3 linked regions of the Schizosaccharomyces pombe genome follow. The gene in region 3 interacts genetically with the main gene of each other region. Each region holds a gene or a part of one and is shown on either strand. Other genes may lie near its edges.

Region 1 (6,436 bases), on a different chromosome or scaffold from region 3:
TACCCGCCCAATGTGTGGATTTTCATTAAAGGCGATTCAAATTCTTTCATTAGAAAACGTTGCTTCCGATAAATTAGTTACGTACAACGTTTTGAGTAATGATGAGCTACGTGAAGGTATAAAGGAGTTCAGCGACTGGCCTACGATTCCTCAACTTTATATTAACGGAGAATTCGTGGGCGGTAGTGATATCTTGGCGTCCATGCATAAATCGTAAGTAATGTTTTAAACTGTATTTTTATTATTTGGTAGAGAGACGGTGAGGATTGAGGAGGTGTCATAGGAAATGTTAAAGATGATGAAGGAGGATTCTACAACTGTTTAATCACTCTAGTTGATATTAAAGATAAAAAAACCCTGTTATATTTTCGCTCTTTCTTCAAATGAACTTTCCCTTTTAAAGCATTGGATAAAAATCAACTATTAGTGTATCAGTGTCTTTAATTCGTCGTCTATATATGCCACATTGTTCTCTCCCTCATTTTTTCTCTCATATTTAATTATTTCTCCTTGTCAACATTTCTGTATTAACAATTTGTCTGTAGAGGAGAGCTTCACAAAATTCTAAAAGAAATAAATGCTTTGGCCCCTGAACAGCCAAAGGATAGTGAAGAGGAAACTACTAAAAAGGATTGAGTCCACATTGCAAATTAATTTGCACAACGTACCACGGTCTTGTGCATTTTTTAGTTTATTGGTCAACTTGACACCACAGGCCATGTATATCAATCAGACGTTATTCAATTATCTTTTTGCTGTACGCTTGATATTCTTTAATGAAGCTTTGAAATTCTGTTTCTCCTCTTTTTTGTGTTCATGCCCTTTCATGACAAAATGTTGGAAATAATGTAAAAGAGCTCTATAAGAAAAAATAATTTTTATCGGAAGTTATTTTTTGGATCAACCTCAATATCAATTTGAAAGCGATCATGTTCATGTTCATGTCCATCCAAATGACATAGAGAATGGAAATTAGTGTCGTGATTTATGCCTTATTGTTATTCCTTGACTTTTTTTTTAAAAAAAATGTCGTAAATTAGATTTAATGTTAAAGCGCTATTGCTGAATACTGTTTTATTTTGCTTATGTTGTTGCACAGAACAATGTCTTGGTAGGTGTAATTCACAGAAAGCATTACGATTGGTTATCTGATATGATTTAAAAATTCTTCTTTGATTATATAAAGTACTGGCTTATCGACGTTACGAGACGTTTACCAAACTTTTATTAACAGATGCTTGTGTTTCTTGACAAACAACATTATTCCTTCCAAGCTCAGCATATAGCGAATTATAGTGTAACTGCGATATAAAGTATTAGCGAACTCTCCCTTTTTAATTCTATTCAAATTGCGTTAGTTTGTGTAGCATGTAATGACGGCACGCGCATAGTGAATTGTAATATACAAAACGCTACACCAAAGCGCGCGCTCTAAAACACGCCAAAACGAGGTGCACGCAACTTAGCTTGCGCGAAAGCGCGTTTCTCGCGTCGCGTCGCGTTTACTTCTTTTATATGCTTGCTATGCCTGTCTTTTGCTTTTTCACTGACACTTTGACTTGTGTTGAGTTACAAGAAAGGCTTCAAAGGCACTTGTACAAGTGTAATTTCCCTTTTACAAGACTCTACCAAAGGTTGGATCCACCTTGAAGTCCTTCTCTTGTTGTCGCTGCTTTTTGCGTTTCTTCTTTTCTCTTTGAATATTCCTTCTTTCTAATTTCTTTTTTCAAATACATGCTATAGGGATCAGTTTAGGCTCCATATACTAGGTTGAGCTGGTTTTAACTGTAAACAATAGTAAATTAAGCTTTCAGTATTTTGAGTGTCAAGCTAGTTTTTACTCCGGAGTATCTTATTTCTACTGTACTTATTTTCTTTTAATTAATTTTTTACACTTTTCAGCTGCTAAGTGTCGGTTTCTATTGTGTACTTTACCGTTTTAAGTTTCTTTGTTTTCTTTGTTCTGGTTCGCTTATTGTCCTACTCTTTTACAGGAGGCGCTTGCCAAAGACAGTCATTTCTCTTATAACAAGTACACTATATCTTATTAAAACATAATTAATCGTCCCCTTTCGATATTAGTGCAACAATTGCTATCCTACAGTCTTCCCAATTGCAATTTATTTAGCCTTTCAGCATTGCTCTCGCCCTCAAGCTGAAAAGGTTTTACTCGCTTTTCTTGCTGGAAAAATAACACCTACATTTGTTATTCTTTTAAATTCGAACTATCAAACTTATTTGCTTGTATTGTTCGTCTTAGTGCTGCTTTTTCTGATCCATCGTTTGTTTATCAAACCTTCAACTTTGCTTTTTCTAAACTAATTACAAAGAAGTGTTCTTTTTAATTCTCTTCGTTAATCATTGTCCCTTTAAACTACGCTCTTGTGCTTTATAAGAGTTAATTCTGCATACCTCAAAGAGGTAAATTCATTTTCGAATCGAACGTTAAAAAATTTATCTTTACTTTTTTTTCTTTCTCAATTTTGATTACATCTGCTTGTTTTTTTTTTTCGTTTATATCCACAACAGTAGGTTGGTTTGGTTTGTTTACACAATTCATTTGTTTATGTTTGGACGATTTCTTTCCCTTTCTTCCTATCAACAACAATAGAATAATTCGGACCCATTGATTTATTCTCATTTAAAAGAGAAACTTTAAAAATTCGCTATAAGTGCTTTCTGTTTCTCGATCGCTCAATTTCCCTAATTTATCCATCTTGTCAATTGAGATTAATTTACCAAAAACAGTTTCCTTATTTTAATAAAAAGAAGACATTTTTGGTTACAAACAATCAGATATATTTCTATACGTTGATAAAAGGGTAATTTATCAATCCATATTTCATATGGCTCTCTATTCAATTTCAAAGCCTGTTGGTTCTAAAATCAATAAGCATAGTTATCAAGATGAAAACACACTTGTTGGCAAACAAGCTTTATCAAAAGGGACTGAGAAGACAAAATTATCTACAAATTTTGAAATTAATCTGCCACGTCGAACTGTCCTATCTGATGTTTCCAATGTAGGTAAAAATAATGCTGATGAGAAGGATACGAAAAAAGCGAAAAGATCGTTCGATGAATCTAATTTATCTACAAATGAAGAAGCTGATAAACCTGTCGAATCTAAATTCGTGAAAAAGTTGAAAGTTTATAGCAAAAATGCGGATCCATCTGTAGAAACTTTACAAAAGGACAGAGTCTCTAATGTTGATGATCATTTATCCTCCAATCCTTTGATGGCTGAGGAATACGCACCCGAAATATTTGAGTACATCAGAAAGCTGGATTTAAAGTGTCTTCCCAATCCAAAATATATGGACCAACAAAAAGAATTAACCTGGAAAATGAGGGAAATTTTGAATGAATGGTTGGTGGAAATACATTCCAACTTTTGTTTAATGCCCGAAACCCTTTATTTGGCAGTCAATATAATTGATCGATTCTTGTCGCGTCGTTCATGCTCTTTGTCTAAATTTCAATTAACAGGCATTACTGCTCTTCTCATCGCTAGCAAATATGAGGAGGTTATGTGTCCTTCGATACAAAACTTTGTTTACATGACTGATGGTGCTTTTACCGTAGAAGATGTCTGTGTCGCTGAACGTTATATGTTAAATGTTCTCAATTTTGACTTGTCCTATCCAAGTCCTTTAAATTTTCTTCGCAAAATATCTCAAGCAGAAGGTTATGATGCACAAACAAGGACATTGGGGAAATACCTAACAGAAATTTATCTGTTTGACCACGATTTATTACGATATCCTATGTCTAAAATTGCTGCTGCCGCAATGTATTTGAGCCGCCGATTATTGCGTCGCGGCCCATGGACGCCAAAGTTAGTTGAAAGCTCTGGTGGGTATGAAGAGCATGAATTAAAGGAGATAGCGTATATTATGCTTCATTATCATAACAAGCCTCTAGAACACAAAGCCTTTTTCCAAAAATACTCCTCAAAAAGGTTCCTGAAGGCTAGTATTTTTGTTCATCAACTCGTCCGTCAACGATACTCAGTCAATCGTACGGACGATGATGACCTTCAATCAGAACCGTCTTCTTCTTTAACAAATGATGGTCACTAACGAACGCTCTTATAAATTTTCTTACGCAAATATTCTGTTGAATATGAGGTTGAGCTCTTCTTTTATTATTTATTATCATAACTTATTTACTTTTTAAAGAGCTTCTTTTTCTTCTTCTCTTTCTTTGAATCTTATCATCTTTATGCAAGGACTGTTTTCAAGTATGTCATCAAGCCTTTCCTCCTTGATAACTAAGTCCTTAATTATATACCATATACCCAAGTTTTATCCAAGAGTTTTAGAATTGAAAATTTTGTAGTCTACTAAACAAACCGTGTTGATGCTTAATCCTCACACATTGTCTTTTAGATGATTCCGTTGATTCTAGAGTATTCGATAATTTCATTCCTTACTTTATGTTACGTTTACATTTTTTATTTCAAAATACGTGTACGTTGTTTCCTCATATTTCTGTTAAACAACATGTTTCTAATTAATGGAGTTTTCTTTATTCATTCATAAAACTTAAAGCTCAAGCGGTATATAACAAACTGGCTAAACCATTAATAGGCAAAAACCAAGTAACTCATAAAGATAAACAAAGAAAGTAGACATAAGGAAAAAGGTAAAGCTGACTCGTTTTCTATACAAAAAGGGAATTTTTAAACCTAAGAAACAAACTTTTAATTGATAACAAATATAGAAAAAGAAGGCGATTTCCAACGAGAATAAGGAAATAAAAAAGAAAAATTCGATAATAGAATCACTGTTATTCTGTCTCATACATTCGTCTTAAATTAATGAACATTTGAGCTTTTTTTATCGAGAGCTTGGCGATTGTGAGAAATCCAAATGTCATGCCCACCTAATCGTCCGCTGGCTTCACTAACAAGTGTTGAGATAGGAATCATTAAAGCTACGCTAGTAGCTGAAGAAACAGAAGGTGAACGGATCTTCATAAATCTCTGTTTTACACGGGGACGAAGACGTTCAGGAAGCGCTTCCATCTGTTTATCAAATTTGGAGTTGTTGAGTAGGTGGCGTATCCTTCCTCCTCTAATGCGTTGAACGAAGCCAAGGGAATGACGAATAGAGTCAATAACTTCGTTGGGAGATGTGGGTTCATACGGGATAAGACTAAGGGATTCAACATCATGATCGGTTGAACGGCGCTTAGAACGGAACCTAGGATTTAGAATCCAAGAGAAAACAGTGTCAATTGTCTTAACCGGAAGGACCTTTCTTAGGAAATTGTTTGGTACACAACGAATCAAGGCTCCAAGTGGGATAGAGATAACACCAAACACGATGGAAATCGCCCATCCTTTACCATCGATTCTTTTTACGGAGAATGCGGCACCTCCGAAAAAAACAATTATAACTTGGATACCAGCAACAATAACGAAAATAGCAATAAAGAGGAAGTTATGGTTAATACGTTCAAAAATATTGAGCTTGTTATCCAATCTCCGATTGTTAATTTCGTTAAACAGCTGGAGCCAGACAAAGGTATTGAAAACAATAGTATTCATGTCCGCAGTATTGGAAGGGTAATGGAAGATACTATTACCAGCAAAGTGTAGCACCAAAGTAACAGCAAGTTGGTACATAGATTGACAAATAATCATTTTCCACATGTCAAAAGTAAAAAGCGATGCACCTGGTTTCTCAGGTTTCCTCTTTAACACTTCAGGAGTAGGAGGGTCAGTGGCAAGTGCAAGAGCAGCAAGTGTATCCATAATTAAATTAACCCACAAAAGCTGAACAGCAGTTAAAACAGAGCTTTGGTCAGTCGAGGCAACAGCAGAGATAATAGTCAAGAAAACAGCCGTAATATTCACGGTAATTTGAAATTGCAGGAATTTTTTTACAGCGTCGTTAACGGTTCTTCCCCAAGCAATTGCTTTCACAATTGACGAGAAGTTGTCGTCCATAAGGATAATATCGGACGCCTCCTTGGCAACTTCGGTTCCCGATTTACCCATTGAAAAGCCGACGTTAGCTTTTTTTAGTGCAGGCGCATCATTGGTACCATCACCTGTAACCGCTACTACGTTACCAAGCTTCTGCAGTCCTTCAATCAATAACTGTTTGTCCAAAGGAGATGAGCGTGCAAGTACATCTAATTTGGGTAAGATTTCTAAGCGTTTCTCATCAGAAAGAGATCGAAATTCCGGTCCTTCCATGGATATTCCATCCTCTGTGTAAATTCCGCACTGCGAAGCAATAGCCTTAGCAGTAACAATATTATCACCAGTAACCATACGAACAGTCACCCCTGCACCTTGGCAAACCTTTACAGCCAAAGGTACATCTGGCCGAATAGGGTCCATGATACCGAAAAATCCTAAGAAAGTCATGTCTGTAAATGCGTCTTCCCATTTCAAAGGATTAGAACTATCCTCGTCATTGGT
Region 2 (6,044 bases), on a different chromosome or scaffold from region 3:
AATCCATCTCGCTCTGATCTCACGACAACCCAGGAAGCTTCTTCTTCTGCTTCTGTGCCACCGGCTATTGCACCTGAGTCTGCAAACGCTGCCTTAACTAGCACTATTGACAAGACTACGGGAGCACCTGAATTGGCACAGAAAAAGTATAAAGTATACGTTGGTCAAGGTAAAAATATGCCTCATAAGACTATAAAGATTATCGTTACAGACAATCAAGACCACAGCTTTAAAACCAAATCTCGGAAAGGCCCGTCTCCCTCATGGAACGAAGAGATTCCGGTCAAATGGAGTTTGGGTGACGAACTTCGAATTTCAGCCGTTACTTCCAACTTGCTTGGACATACTAAACTGGGTGAAGCGGTATTTCAAGAAGATGCTATTGGTACATTTAGGGTTGTAATTGGTGGTTCATCTTCTGTTGAAATTAAGGTCGAAGCTGAGTAGTATGGGTAATGCTTCCGGTTCTTTTCAACGTTCGTTATACTTTACTTTCACTATCTTGTTGTTTAATTCATTCTATTCATATTGACTCAAATATAGTACCATATTTGTATATTGTGCTGCCAAAAAAATAAATACTATAAGAAGAATTATTAAGACTACATCACCAGATTAGCGTAGTGTTGATATAAATACAGATAATAAGAGGATCCGATTAACAAAACAAGAAACATAAAAGAAAAAGAAAGAAAAGGACGCTGACAGTGCATTCAGACAAATTTAGTTCACATTACTTTAAAATGTAGCCCGCCAACATTTTCGCTTAAAGCGAGACGGTCCATAAATACAGAAACACAATATGTAAAATTATAAGTTTTGTATGTATTCTTCCGCCCGCTTACCTTCTTCCAGTAACCATTCTATTTTTTCTTCACAGGCTTCTTCAAACTCTTTTGCACATTTAGCATACATAAATTTAATCCACTGCTCAACGGTCATATCCAGTTCTTTTTCACTTAGTTTGTTTGGCTCTACAGGATTCGGTACTGGAGATTCTAATAGACTCGAGAAATCTATGGGTTCCCATGGTGGTGCATTTGCTTCAACTAAGGGCAAAGCATGTTTTGATTTGACAGGAGTTTGAGGAGCCAAAAATGAAGATTGGCACAATGGATCAAATGGACTGATCGAATGGTCATAGTAGGATTCATCTAAAGGCTTCCGGACACTTGGCAAATTTATACTCGTTACTTCTTTCTCAGCGTAAGTTTTAGCGAAAGCTGAAGAGGTTTCACAAGAACCAGGTGAAGTTTCAACATCCTTTTTACTTACATTATCGATTTTATCTACCTTCGTTTCCTTCTCAGGTGTATTTTTCGACACTGATCTAGTACCATTCTGTACAGAAGTCCTAGAATTTTTGATTTCTTGATCAGGAAAAGCATCACTTAACGAGACTTTGTCTACCTCAGTCAATTTTTCTTCAATCTTTTCAATATTTTCTAATTCATGGTTGGCCTCCTTTTCTTGCAATTTATCAGAAGTTTCTGTATTAACAGCTTCAACGGTTTGATTGTTCTTGCTCTGTAGCTTAGGAGAATTAATGTCATCTTCTTGAAATGTCACTTTTTCGGAGTTTCCGACGTTTCTGTCAGGAAGATCCTTTAAGTAACTTCCTGATTCAAGTTCATTGGGTTGTACGATCGGCTGGGGATCCAGGCTTGAATGAACATTCATGACAGTATGACCAGAATTAGCTTCCTCATGATTAACATTTTCACTTTTTTCATCGGAAACAGGACTTGATACGTCTCTCGTCTTGGTCACTCCTCTATCTATAGAAACTCTAACCGTTTGGGACTCATCGCAAATGGCCTTTCTTTTTTCCTCAGGAAGCACTTCGCTAATTTCAGTTTTTGGTTTTTCTATAAAGTCCACTATTGATGTATCAAACTTTGTTTTTGATGTTGAGGTACTTTTTCCCTTCTCTAAAACTCCGCTTACAAGATTATCCTTCCTTTTAATTGCTAAGAGAGGAATTAGATCAATTAAAGGTTTGTCATCATTTTCAGATTCAGAAAGCAATTGTAGTGACTGTTCAGACTCCATACTCTTATTCTCAAGATCCTCAAATTTACTAACGTGAATGGCAGTTTGGCTGTCCTCTGTAACTTTTACTGGTTCATGTGAATCCTCAGTAGACGAAACTAAAATGTTTTTAGATTGTAAAACTTCTTGAAATTTTCTCTTCTTTTCAGGAATTGGTATTTTCAAATTGGTCTCGTCATTTTCATCATTTGCTTCTTCCGAGTTTCTCTTTTTTGAAATGTTGCTAAACGAATCTATTGTACTCCTTGGTGAAAAATTGGTTTGTAATATTTTATCTCTGAAGCTTGAAGAAGACACTCTACCTCCTGTTGCAGCATCAGTCATATCGGGAGATGAAGTTGATGGCTTTGAAGAGATTGGTTGTTTTGTGGACTCCTCTATGAACGAACCTTGAAGATTTAAATGCTCATCTTCTTTTTCAACCTTCTGCTGTTCCGGAGTTTCGATAGCAACTTGTTTTTCTGTATGATTTTGCTCTTTACCAACAGAAGAAACAGAAGACGAAATTTCCTTTGATTTGGAAACCACAGATATTTCTTCTTCAATTTTTGATTCGATTTCAATTTTCGGCGGCGTAGACATACAATTATTTTGCTCATCACTTTCATCAGTTACAGATTGATGTCCAGTTATGTCAGAAACAGTTGTGTGGACGGATGTAGCTGGTGATACAAGATGTTCCAGCTCATTATCTTTTTCATCTTCTTTAAGTGGAATTTCTTCTGTAAAATTCTTTTTGGCTACTTGCATAGAGTCATTACATATCCCTTTAGAGAAGGGTTGAGAGGCGGTCAAGTCGTCGTCATCTTCGTCTTCATCAGAAAAAATTGGCTTAACAGGTTTAAAGACTGCTGGCTTTGATTTTTTTGGAGATTTATTTTTTCGCCTTGGAGCCGTAAGTAAAACGGGCTTCGTTGGACTTTGTGGTGCACGGGTGGGTTGTGAGTCTTTCTCCTCAGAGGTATTAGTATAAAGGGACATTGTTAAAGGACGTGCATTAAGATTATTCTTTCTACTAGGGGAGAAATTTAAAGTTTTATGAGATTTTGTTGAATCTCGGGTGGGAGAAACGGGAAGAATGGAATTATCCTCGGTCAAGTCTTCAGGGTCAATGTTCGACGTAGATAAAAAAGACAGTTTAGTAGGAGATAAGCTATTTGGGTCTTTCCATGTAAAAAACACACAGTCCGCACGACGGCGTTTGTGCTCGGTGTAAGGGTCATCATCCGGTTCCCAATCATGAAGATTAATATCACAATATAAGCAATGAGCTGCATCTTTAGCATCAGCAGTTGGATTGTATACAAAACCAGAAGCAGCCATTACACTCGGCTCACAGTGATAATCAGGGCGATTGGTATACGGCCATACTTTATCAACAAAAGTTTGTTCTCGACATTTTGTGAGAGCTGCAGCTTGGGGGTTCTGGTTTGGATTGTTTTTTGAGGATAAAATATATGCCCATGGACAGCTGGGGCTATGAGTAATATGCTCTTTCAATGGATCATCATCATCCTCCCAGTCATAAAATGACTTGGTACACATATAGCATGTAACATTATCAAGTCTTTCTTCAGAATTAGATTCAGAGATTGGATTGTAATAGAAACCGACAGTAGCAAGCTATTTTCTTGTTAGCAACACAGATGAAAACTCTATCGTCAACATACAGTTTCTGGCGTCGGTTTGGCTCGCGGCCATTTTTTTTTCTGGAAAGTGTCAAGTCGTTTAGAGTAATTACACATTTCCCTTCGAAACCGATTCCATCGGCGTTTAGAAGAAGACGTTATCGGTTTCATTCTGAGCAAGCTTCAACAAGTGAAATTTAGATACCAAATTTCGACTTCCGATCCTTAAAACTATAAAATTAATTTTTTTAAAACTTCTGGTTATTGTCTTTAGACAATATCAGATACTTCCAAATGCATAGGATAGGGAAGGTCGCCTCGCAAGGCGTATATGGGTAATGTTTACTTTTTGTAGATTGCTAGGGCACACGAGTTTACTGTAATTGAACAATGTCGTTATATTGCGTAAAATGTCGTTAAGTAGTATAGCAGACTTTAATAAATGGAAGGTTCACTGGTTACAAATTTTTCGAGATGACTAGGTTTAGATATTATATTGAGTAAGGAAGATTCAATTATTGTCTTTAATGTCAGCCTTATGATCTTTGTTAATAAATTCAAAATTTAACTAGAAGATTTTTGCTAGCACAAAGTAATGTATCATAGTTTGGTACTAATATTGTTACATATAATAATATTAAAGCTCCAACTCTAAAGTATGGAGCATCGTGAAAGAAGAATAAGGCTACATTTTCATGGCTATTCAAAGGAAACTATGCATATCAACAAGACAAATCTGATTTCATTTTCCTCTTTCGATGCGATGGTCAAAGTTATGAATACAATGATGAATCAGCTGTCTCATTAGAAAAAAGTTGAAAAGAGGATGACAAATGCGGTGGAAATATTGAACTTCCTAAAACCTCAAATAAAAGTTAAGCAATAGAGGAAGTACAATCATGAAGACAATGTAAAATAAATTAATTGAATTAGTCCCATGTTGTTTCAAAGGTACAAAACCTGTATCTAGTAGTGGAGCAGCCAAAAGCTACAACTAAATCGACAACAAAGACCAAAACTGTTGAATGATTCCTGTGTTTCGTCAATAAAACAAATAATAAACTCACAAAATAACCACGATCTATAAACCATTCGTTGGTTAGAAAGTGAATGAAAAAAAGTAAACAAAAGTTCGTTTCGACACGCACACTCAGGACGGACTTGAGAAATAATTTAACAAGTACAAGATGTTCAACTTTCCAGCACAATCATTAAACAACAATATAACAAAATGAGAAGAGTGACAACTGCGGAATGTATGTCTAGGTAAACCTCCTAAAATGTAATAATCTCGTCTAATAACAATCGCGCCATACACGTAAAGGTAAATGAAAAAATCGGCATCCTCAATTGCTCAATGAAATAATTTAACGATATTATAAACCACAGGACCACAGCCAAAATCATGAAGCCACTTCGATGTTTATGAAAATGAACAATCTAAAAAAGAACGAAACCTAAACAAGCATAAATGAATAATGTATGTGAAGTATCATTACATAGCCATATCTTCGGCATTAGTCGCCGAAAATTGAAAATCGCCGGCAGGCTCTTGTGTAGTTCCAAATGTAAACGTATCACCGACGGTTTCTGGTTCAAGCTCTTCGATTTCGTCTTCTTCACCGAAAAACTTTTCGATAATATTGTAAGCTTTTTGGTAAATTTCCGAATTAGATGAGTTCTGACATTCGTGGATCAAATCCATACCACCAGCATCCTCAACGTAGACGGCGTATAAATTGATTTTATCAGGGTTATTCGCGCGATCAAGTTCACCCACTCGCAAAATATTTTCAATACCATCTAAAGCAACCTGGATAATCTTGTTATCTTGACAAGCCAGCAAATTACATAAAGGTTTGATTGCGCCTTGCTCTACAAGGTAGCGAATTTGGTCGGGACGACGAGCGCCACCGGATGTGGCATTGGAAATGGCCCAGCAGGCTTCCTTTTGGATTTTAAAGTCAGCGGTCGTAAGGAGATGAATTAAAGGAGGAATAATGTTAGCTTCAATAACATATTGAATTTGAGAAGAATTACCGGCCGTTATATTACTAATTGTCCAACAGGCTTCCTTACGAACGCCATCGCGTGGACTGCTTAACAAAGAAAGTAAAGCACTTAAAGCACCACAATTAATGATGACCTGGGTCTGAACGTCATCTCCTGTAACAATATTTCCTACGGATCGGAGAGCAGGAGTCTGTACTTGAGCGCTAGGATGCATTAAAAGTTCAACAAGCCTACGAGGAATCCCTGCATCAATGATGGCTTGGATCTTCTCATTAGCGCCATCAGATAAATAGGAAATGGCCCAAAGGGCATCAACTAAAACATCTTCGTCTAAGGTATAAATTAATTTCG
Region 3 (5,220 bases):
ACGAAGCTAATTGAAATATTATTTTTTCTGATACCAGAGTGAACATTTCATCTGCTAATTTTGTCACTGAAGATTTCGTTAAAGGCAAAGGCATTTCATATACCAGTCTGTAGAAACATCTAAGAATTTCACAGAAAGCGTCTGTGAAACATTTTTTTGCATTGAGCATACACGTTCGTATTGAAACTAAGCAATTAACGATGTCTTGGGTCAAAAAAGGGACATTATTGCTACAAGATACAAAATCTTTAGTATCACCGCATAAAAACGAACATTTGAAGCTGTCATCGCCGGAATCATTTACCAAATACTGCACTAATTCGTCAAGCCAAGTCTTCTGAAAAGCACATTCACACTCTAAAACCAGCTTTTTAAAATTCAAATGAGTAGAGCCCATATACATATTATGCAGCTTTTGAAACGTAGAAGCTACACTCAAGCATTGAGAAATATTACCTTGAAGTACTAGCAGACTAGATAAAGTTTCTTTCCAATCTGCTAAATGCGCTTCTAATTGCGCCAAGGATACGAATTTTCCGGAACCTACAAAATAAGGATCGCTGGATATAATCATCCGCTCTAAATTAGCTAGACTTTCATCATAAAGAAATAATTTTTTCGAAAGCAGAAGTCTAAGAGCTTTAAGAAGAAACTGGTTTTGCTGAATCAAATCTTCATCAAAAATTTCAATATATCGTTCTATCCTTTTCCTTTTACTTGCCAAAGATACTATGTCATTAATTAATTCTCGTTCACCAGGGTGTAATGGTTGAACAGATGGATGCAGTAGTATTTGACCATTTTTCTCAATAAACAGGCCAGAAGTATTCCCTGCGAGCAACAAAATAATCTCATGCAACATATAATGTATTTATTGTTACAGAGTTTGCATGAAAATATTCAACATATAGCCAATTTAAGTAAACTACTCCAAAGGAGGCTTTCGTAGTAAATGAGATAAATAGCTAAAACTTATTCGTGTTACTTTGAAGGTAACGACTAGGGAATGTCTTGCGTTGTTACAATGAACAATAATCAATGTAGCATTGCATATAATTCAATTAATATATATATATATATATATATATATATATTATTTTGTAATAACCTAGTAGGTACTGTTTATCTTAAACAAACAAAGTCTCAGACGAGCGAAGGTTTAACGACATTAATTTTGGGCAACAGGTAAACACAACACTTTAAAATTGATTAGAAGGGGGAGGTGGTCCACATGGCATGATCATTTTTTCTAATAGGTTTTTGCGAACTTGGACTCTCGGTTCGCCGAGCGCCGTTGCCATATATGCGAGCAACGGTGGATGCCCCACTACAGAAGACAAAGTATCCCGGTGCTGATTTACCATCCATTCACTAGTTTATATGGTGAGCGAAAATTCATTTGTCAAATAAACCGATTAGTACTTACTATTTGGTGGTAAACGCATTACCGACACCAACATAACGCGCTTGTAACTGTTCTAGTTTTGCTTGAGAGCGCAACCTGTCTGCCTACAATCGTTAATAAATGAAAGAAGCATAGAATAGAGATAATTCAAGAATTTTTTTCTTACCATAGTATATATTGGAATATGTGGTATAATGTTCAGACTGGGTTTTTTTAACACATATTGTTAATTGAAACGAATAAGGTATAATACTGTAATTTGCAATTCTAAATTGCGATTTCTAGCGCACCAAAGCAACCACAGAAATAAACGTTTCAAAATAAACATTGCTATCCTTTGACCAAAAACCTGTAGTTGCAGTTTTTTGATAATAGGGAGCACTACACTTGAAGATGTCTTCTCTTGCATCTCAGGGTAATAATGCTTCAACTCCTGCATATCGTTATGGGTTTCAAACTTCAGAAGTTGGGGACAGGCCAACTGTAAGTATGCCTTCACAACCTGAGTCGAGTGCTATGCTCGAGGATGATGGAATGGTGAAAAGGAAACCTTTTGCTGCTATAGGAGAAGCCATACCAAAGGTAATTGATACAACCGGAGAATCAGTACGTGAAGCCTTTGAAGAGTTTTTATTGTCATTTTCTGATGACCGCGTTGCTGGAGGTGATGCTCTCCCTTCTGCATCACAAGAGAAATATTATGTTCAACAGATTCATGGATTGGCAATGTATGAGATTCATACCGTTTACGTTGATTATAAGCATTTAACCTCGTACAATGATGTGTTAGCTCTTGCGATAGTTGAGCAATATTATCGATTTTCTCCTTTCTTACTTCGAGCTTTACAAAAGTTGATTGAAAAGTTTGAACCAGAATATTATAGAAGTTCTCTTTCTCGTGAAAATGCTTCACTTTCACCGAACTTTAAAGCCAGTGACAAAACATTTGCTCTTGCATTTTACAATTTACCCTTTCGATCCACAATTCGGGACTTACGAACAGATCGTATCGGTAGACTCACGACTATTACAGGTACAGTTACTCGTACTTCTGAAGTACGCCCTGAATTAGCACAAGGTACTTTTATCTGTGAGGAATGCCACACTGTAGTTTCAAATGTTGAGCAAGCATTTCGCTATACTGAACCAACTCAATGCCCTAATGAACTTTGTGCTAATAAAAGAAGTTGGCGGCTCAATATTTCACAGTCTTCTTTTCAGGACTGGCAAAAGGTGCGCATTCAAGAAAATAGCAACGAGATTCCTACGGGTTCTATGCCACGAACTTTGGACGTAATTTTGCGCGGAGATATTGTTGAAAGGGCTAAGGCTGGTGACAAATGCGCATTTACGGGAATTCTTATTGCCGTTCCAGATGTCTCACAGCTAGGAATTCCTGGTGTAAAGCCAGAAGCTTATCGAGATTCTCGCAATTTTGGTGGTAGAGATGCAGATGGTGTGACAGGACTGAAGTCTTTAGGTGTACGTGATCTTACATATAAACTATCTTTTTTAGCTTGCATGGTTCAACCAGATGATGCAAATGATAAAAGCGGTGCGGATGTCAGAGGGGATGGTTCTCAAGGGATCGAAGAGCAAGATGAATTTTTGCAATCGCTTTCTCAAGAAGAAATTGATGATTTACGTGCGATGGTGCATTCAGATCATATTTATTCTCGTTTGACAAACTCACTGGCTCCCTCTGTTTATGGTCATGAAATAATTAAGAAGGGGATTCTTTTACAGTTAATGGGTGGTGTTCACAAGTTAACTCCTGAAGGTATAAATCTTCGTGGCGACCTGAACATTTGTATTGTCGGCGACCCCAGTACTTCGAAATCACAATTTCTTAAATACGTTTGCAATTTTCTTCCTCGTGCAATCTACACTTCTGGAAAGGCATCATCTGCGGCCGGTCTCACAGCTGCAGTTGTTAAGGACGAAGAAACTGGGGATTTTACTATAGAAGCAGGCGCTTTAATGTTGGCTGACAATGGAATATGTGCTATAGATGAATTCGATAAAATGGATCTGTCAGACCAAGTTGCTATTCATGAAGCAATGGAACAACAAACGATATCTATAGCAAAAGCTGGAATTCAAGCTACATTAAACGCACGGACATCTATCCTTGCTGCTGCAAATCCAATAGGTGGCCGCTATAACCGAAAAACAACTTTGCGGAATAACATCAATATGTCTGCTCCTATCATGTCACGGTTTGATTTATTCTTCGTTGTACTAGATGAGTGCAATGAATCAGTTGATAGACATTTAGCTAAGCATATTGTTGACATTCATCGTTTACGGGATGATGCCATGCAACCTGAATTTAGTACTGAGCAACTTCAACGATATATCAGATATGCAAGGACTTTCAAACCAAAGTTAAATACAGAATCTTGTGCCGAAATTGTTAAAAAGTACAAGCAATTGCGGATGGATGACGCGCAAGGTGCTGGTAAAAATTCATATCGTATTACCGTGCGACAACTGGAGTCAATGATTCGTCTATCAGAAGCCATTGCAAGAGCAAACTGTGTAGATGATATTACTCCTGCATTTGTCAACGAAGCATACTCTTTATTACGTCAATCAATTATCCATGTGGAAAGAGATGATATTGAGGTTGAAGAAGATGATGCAGAGGCCCAAGAACTTGAGAATGATAATACTAATACAACAAATGGCAATGATAATGTTTCTTCGGAAGAAGCTTTGCAGAAACCAAAAGTAAAAATTACTTACGACAAATATGTTTCGATTATGAACGGAATATTACAGGTTTTACGCCAGCGCTCTACTGAAGGTGTAGATGGAGTACCAGCGGGAGACCTAGTTCAGTCATATCTCGAGCTTAGGGAAGACCAATTCCATACCGAGGAAGACATCATCTATGAGGTTGGTCTTGTGCGTAAGGTATTAACCAGGCTTGTTCACGAATCGATCATCATGGAAATTCAAAATTTAACTGACAGCGCCGTGAGGCTTCCTTTTGAAGAACGCGTATTTTCAATACACCCTAACTGTGACATTGATGCTCTACTGAGCAATGGCGATGTTCCGAACTAAGGTTATAAAAGATTCGTAACGATCTCTTATAAGTTTTATCAGTGAGGCGTATTTTTGAAACAGACCTGACATTAATTGTTGAAGCACTACTTTAATTCACGAAATTGGTGTATTTTTTTTTTCCTCACTGCATACCGTAGAAACCCTGATTTGTTATTTTAATCTTTACACTCTTTTTTTGTACTTTTATTCACTAAATTTGATAATACTATTGGATCCTACCGAAAAATATATACTCATTTTCCTGATCTAGACATTTATCAGATTAATCTATGTTTATTTCAAACATATAACCCAGGTAAATTAGTATAGTGATACGTTAAGCAATGTTAATATGTTGAAGCATATCTGCTGAAATCCGTTCAACACCAAAGGAAGGGTGAGACTGTTCAGGACTAAACCTCTACGCTATTTACAATAGTAAACACCTCAAGTTACTTTTTATAAAGACTCTTGATTAGTAGCTACAGAAGGGCTATGGAAGTGCCTCGCGCATCTCCTAACCAAGAGCCGTTATGTTCGATTTCACCGTCCTCCTTGGTGATCAATGAAATTATAACTGTCGTGACGGCAATTAGAAAAACCACGAGATGGAGGAATTCTGGTGTTGCATCCATTTTAGGAGTCTCAACACTTAAAGACGAATTTCTGGCTGATGGTTTAGAAAGCCGATGGAAAACAAATGGCGAAAAAAGCAGTAGTATCCGATATCCATTGGTTATGGAGTTTTCACAGTTAAAAGA

The links. Genes that interact genetically often act in the same process or in processes that back each other up.
Region 1: of mcm6 (region 3) and cig2, a mutation in one rescues a mutant of the other (synthetic rescue), as found in Schizosaccharomyces pombe (2 studies listed by BioGRID, with this or other methods).
Region 2: of mcm6 (region 3) and bir1, extra expression of one rescues a mutant of the other (dosage rescue), as found in Schizosaccharomyces pombe (one study listed by BioGRID).

What each region holds. Positions count from the first base shown.
Region 1 is NC_003424.3:2,708,234-2,714,669, forward strand, and holds cig2 (G1/S-specific B-type cyclin Cig2), read left to right. Parts: upstream 1-1,548; 5' UTR 1,549-2,846; coding exon 2,847-4,082; 3' UTR 4,083-4,819; downstream 4,820-6,436. Other genes in the region: mitochondrial [2Fe-2S] cluster assembly and transfer glutaredoxin Grx5, read left to right, coding at 1-213, 546-636; P2 type calcium transporting P-type ATPase Pmc1, read right to left, coding at 4,820-6,436. UniProt on the Schizosaccharomyces pombe protein: Essential for the control of the cell cycle at the G2/M and G1/S (mitosis) transition. Interacts with the cdc2 protein kinase to form MPF. Interaction with res2 promotes the phosphorylation of res1 and inhibits MBF-dependent gene transcription.
Region 2 is NC_003421.2:545,298-551,341, forward strand, and holds bir1 (survivin Bir1), read right to left. Parts: upstream 4,003-6,044; 5' UTR 3,852-4,002; coding exon 3,723-3,851; exon of another isoform or gene 3,676-3,722; coding exon 811-3,675; 3' UTR 508-810; downstream 1-507. Other genes in the region: tricalbin, C2 domain protein (phospholipid binding) ER-plasma membrane tethering protein Tcb1, read left to right, coding at 1-447; importin alpha family nuclear import signal receptor adaptor Cut15, read right to left, coding at 5,176-6,044. UniProt on the Schizosaccharomyces pombe protein: Component of the chromosomal passenger complex (CPC), a complex that acts as a key regulator of chromosome segregation and cytokinesis.
Region 3 is NC_003423.3:3,879,575-3,884,794, reverse strand, and holds mcm6 (MCM complex subunit Mcm6), read left to right. Parts: upstream 1-1,737; 5' UTR 1,738-1,798; coding exon 1,799-4,477; 3' UTR 4,478-4,697; downstream 4,698-5,220. Other genes in the region: gamma tubulin complex GCP4 subunit Gfh1, read right to left, coding at 1-862; sap10 (splicing factor 3B), read right to left, coding at 1,200-1,371, 1,427-1,509, 1,572-1,574; gea1 (guanyl-nucleotide exchange factor), read left to right, coding at 4,955-5,220. UniProt on the Schizosaccharomyces pombe protein: Acts as a component of the mcm2-7 complex (mcm complex) which is the putative replicative helicase essential for 'once per cell cycle' DNA replication initiation and elongation in eukaryotic cells.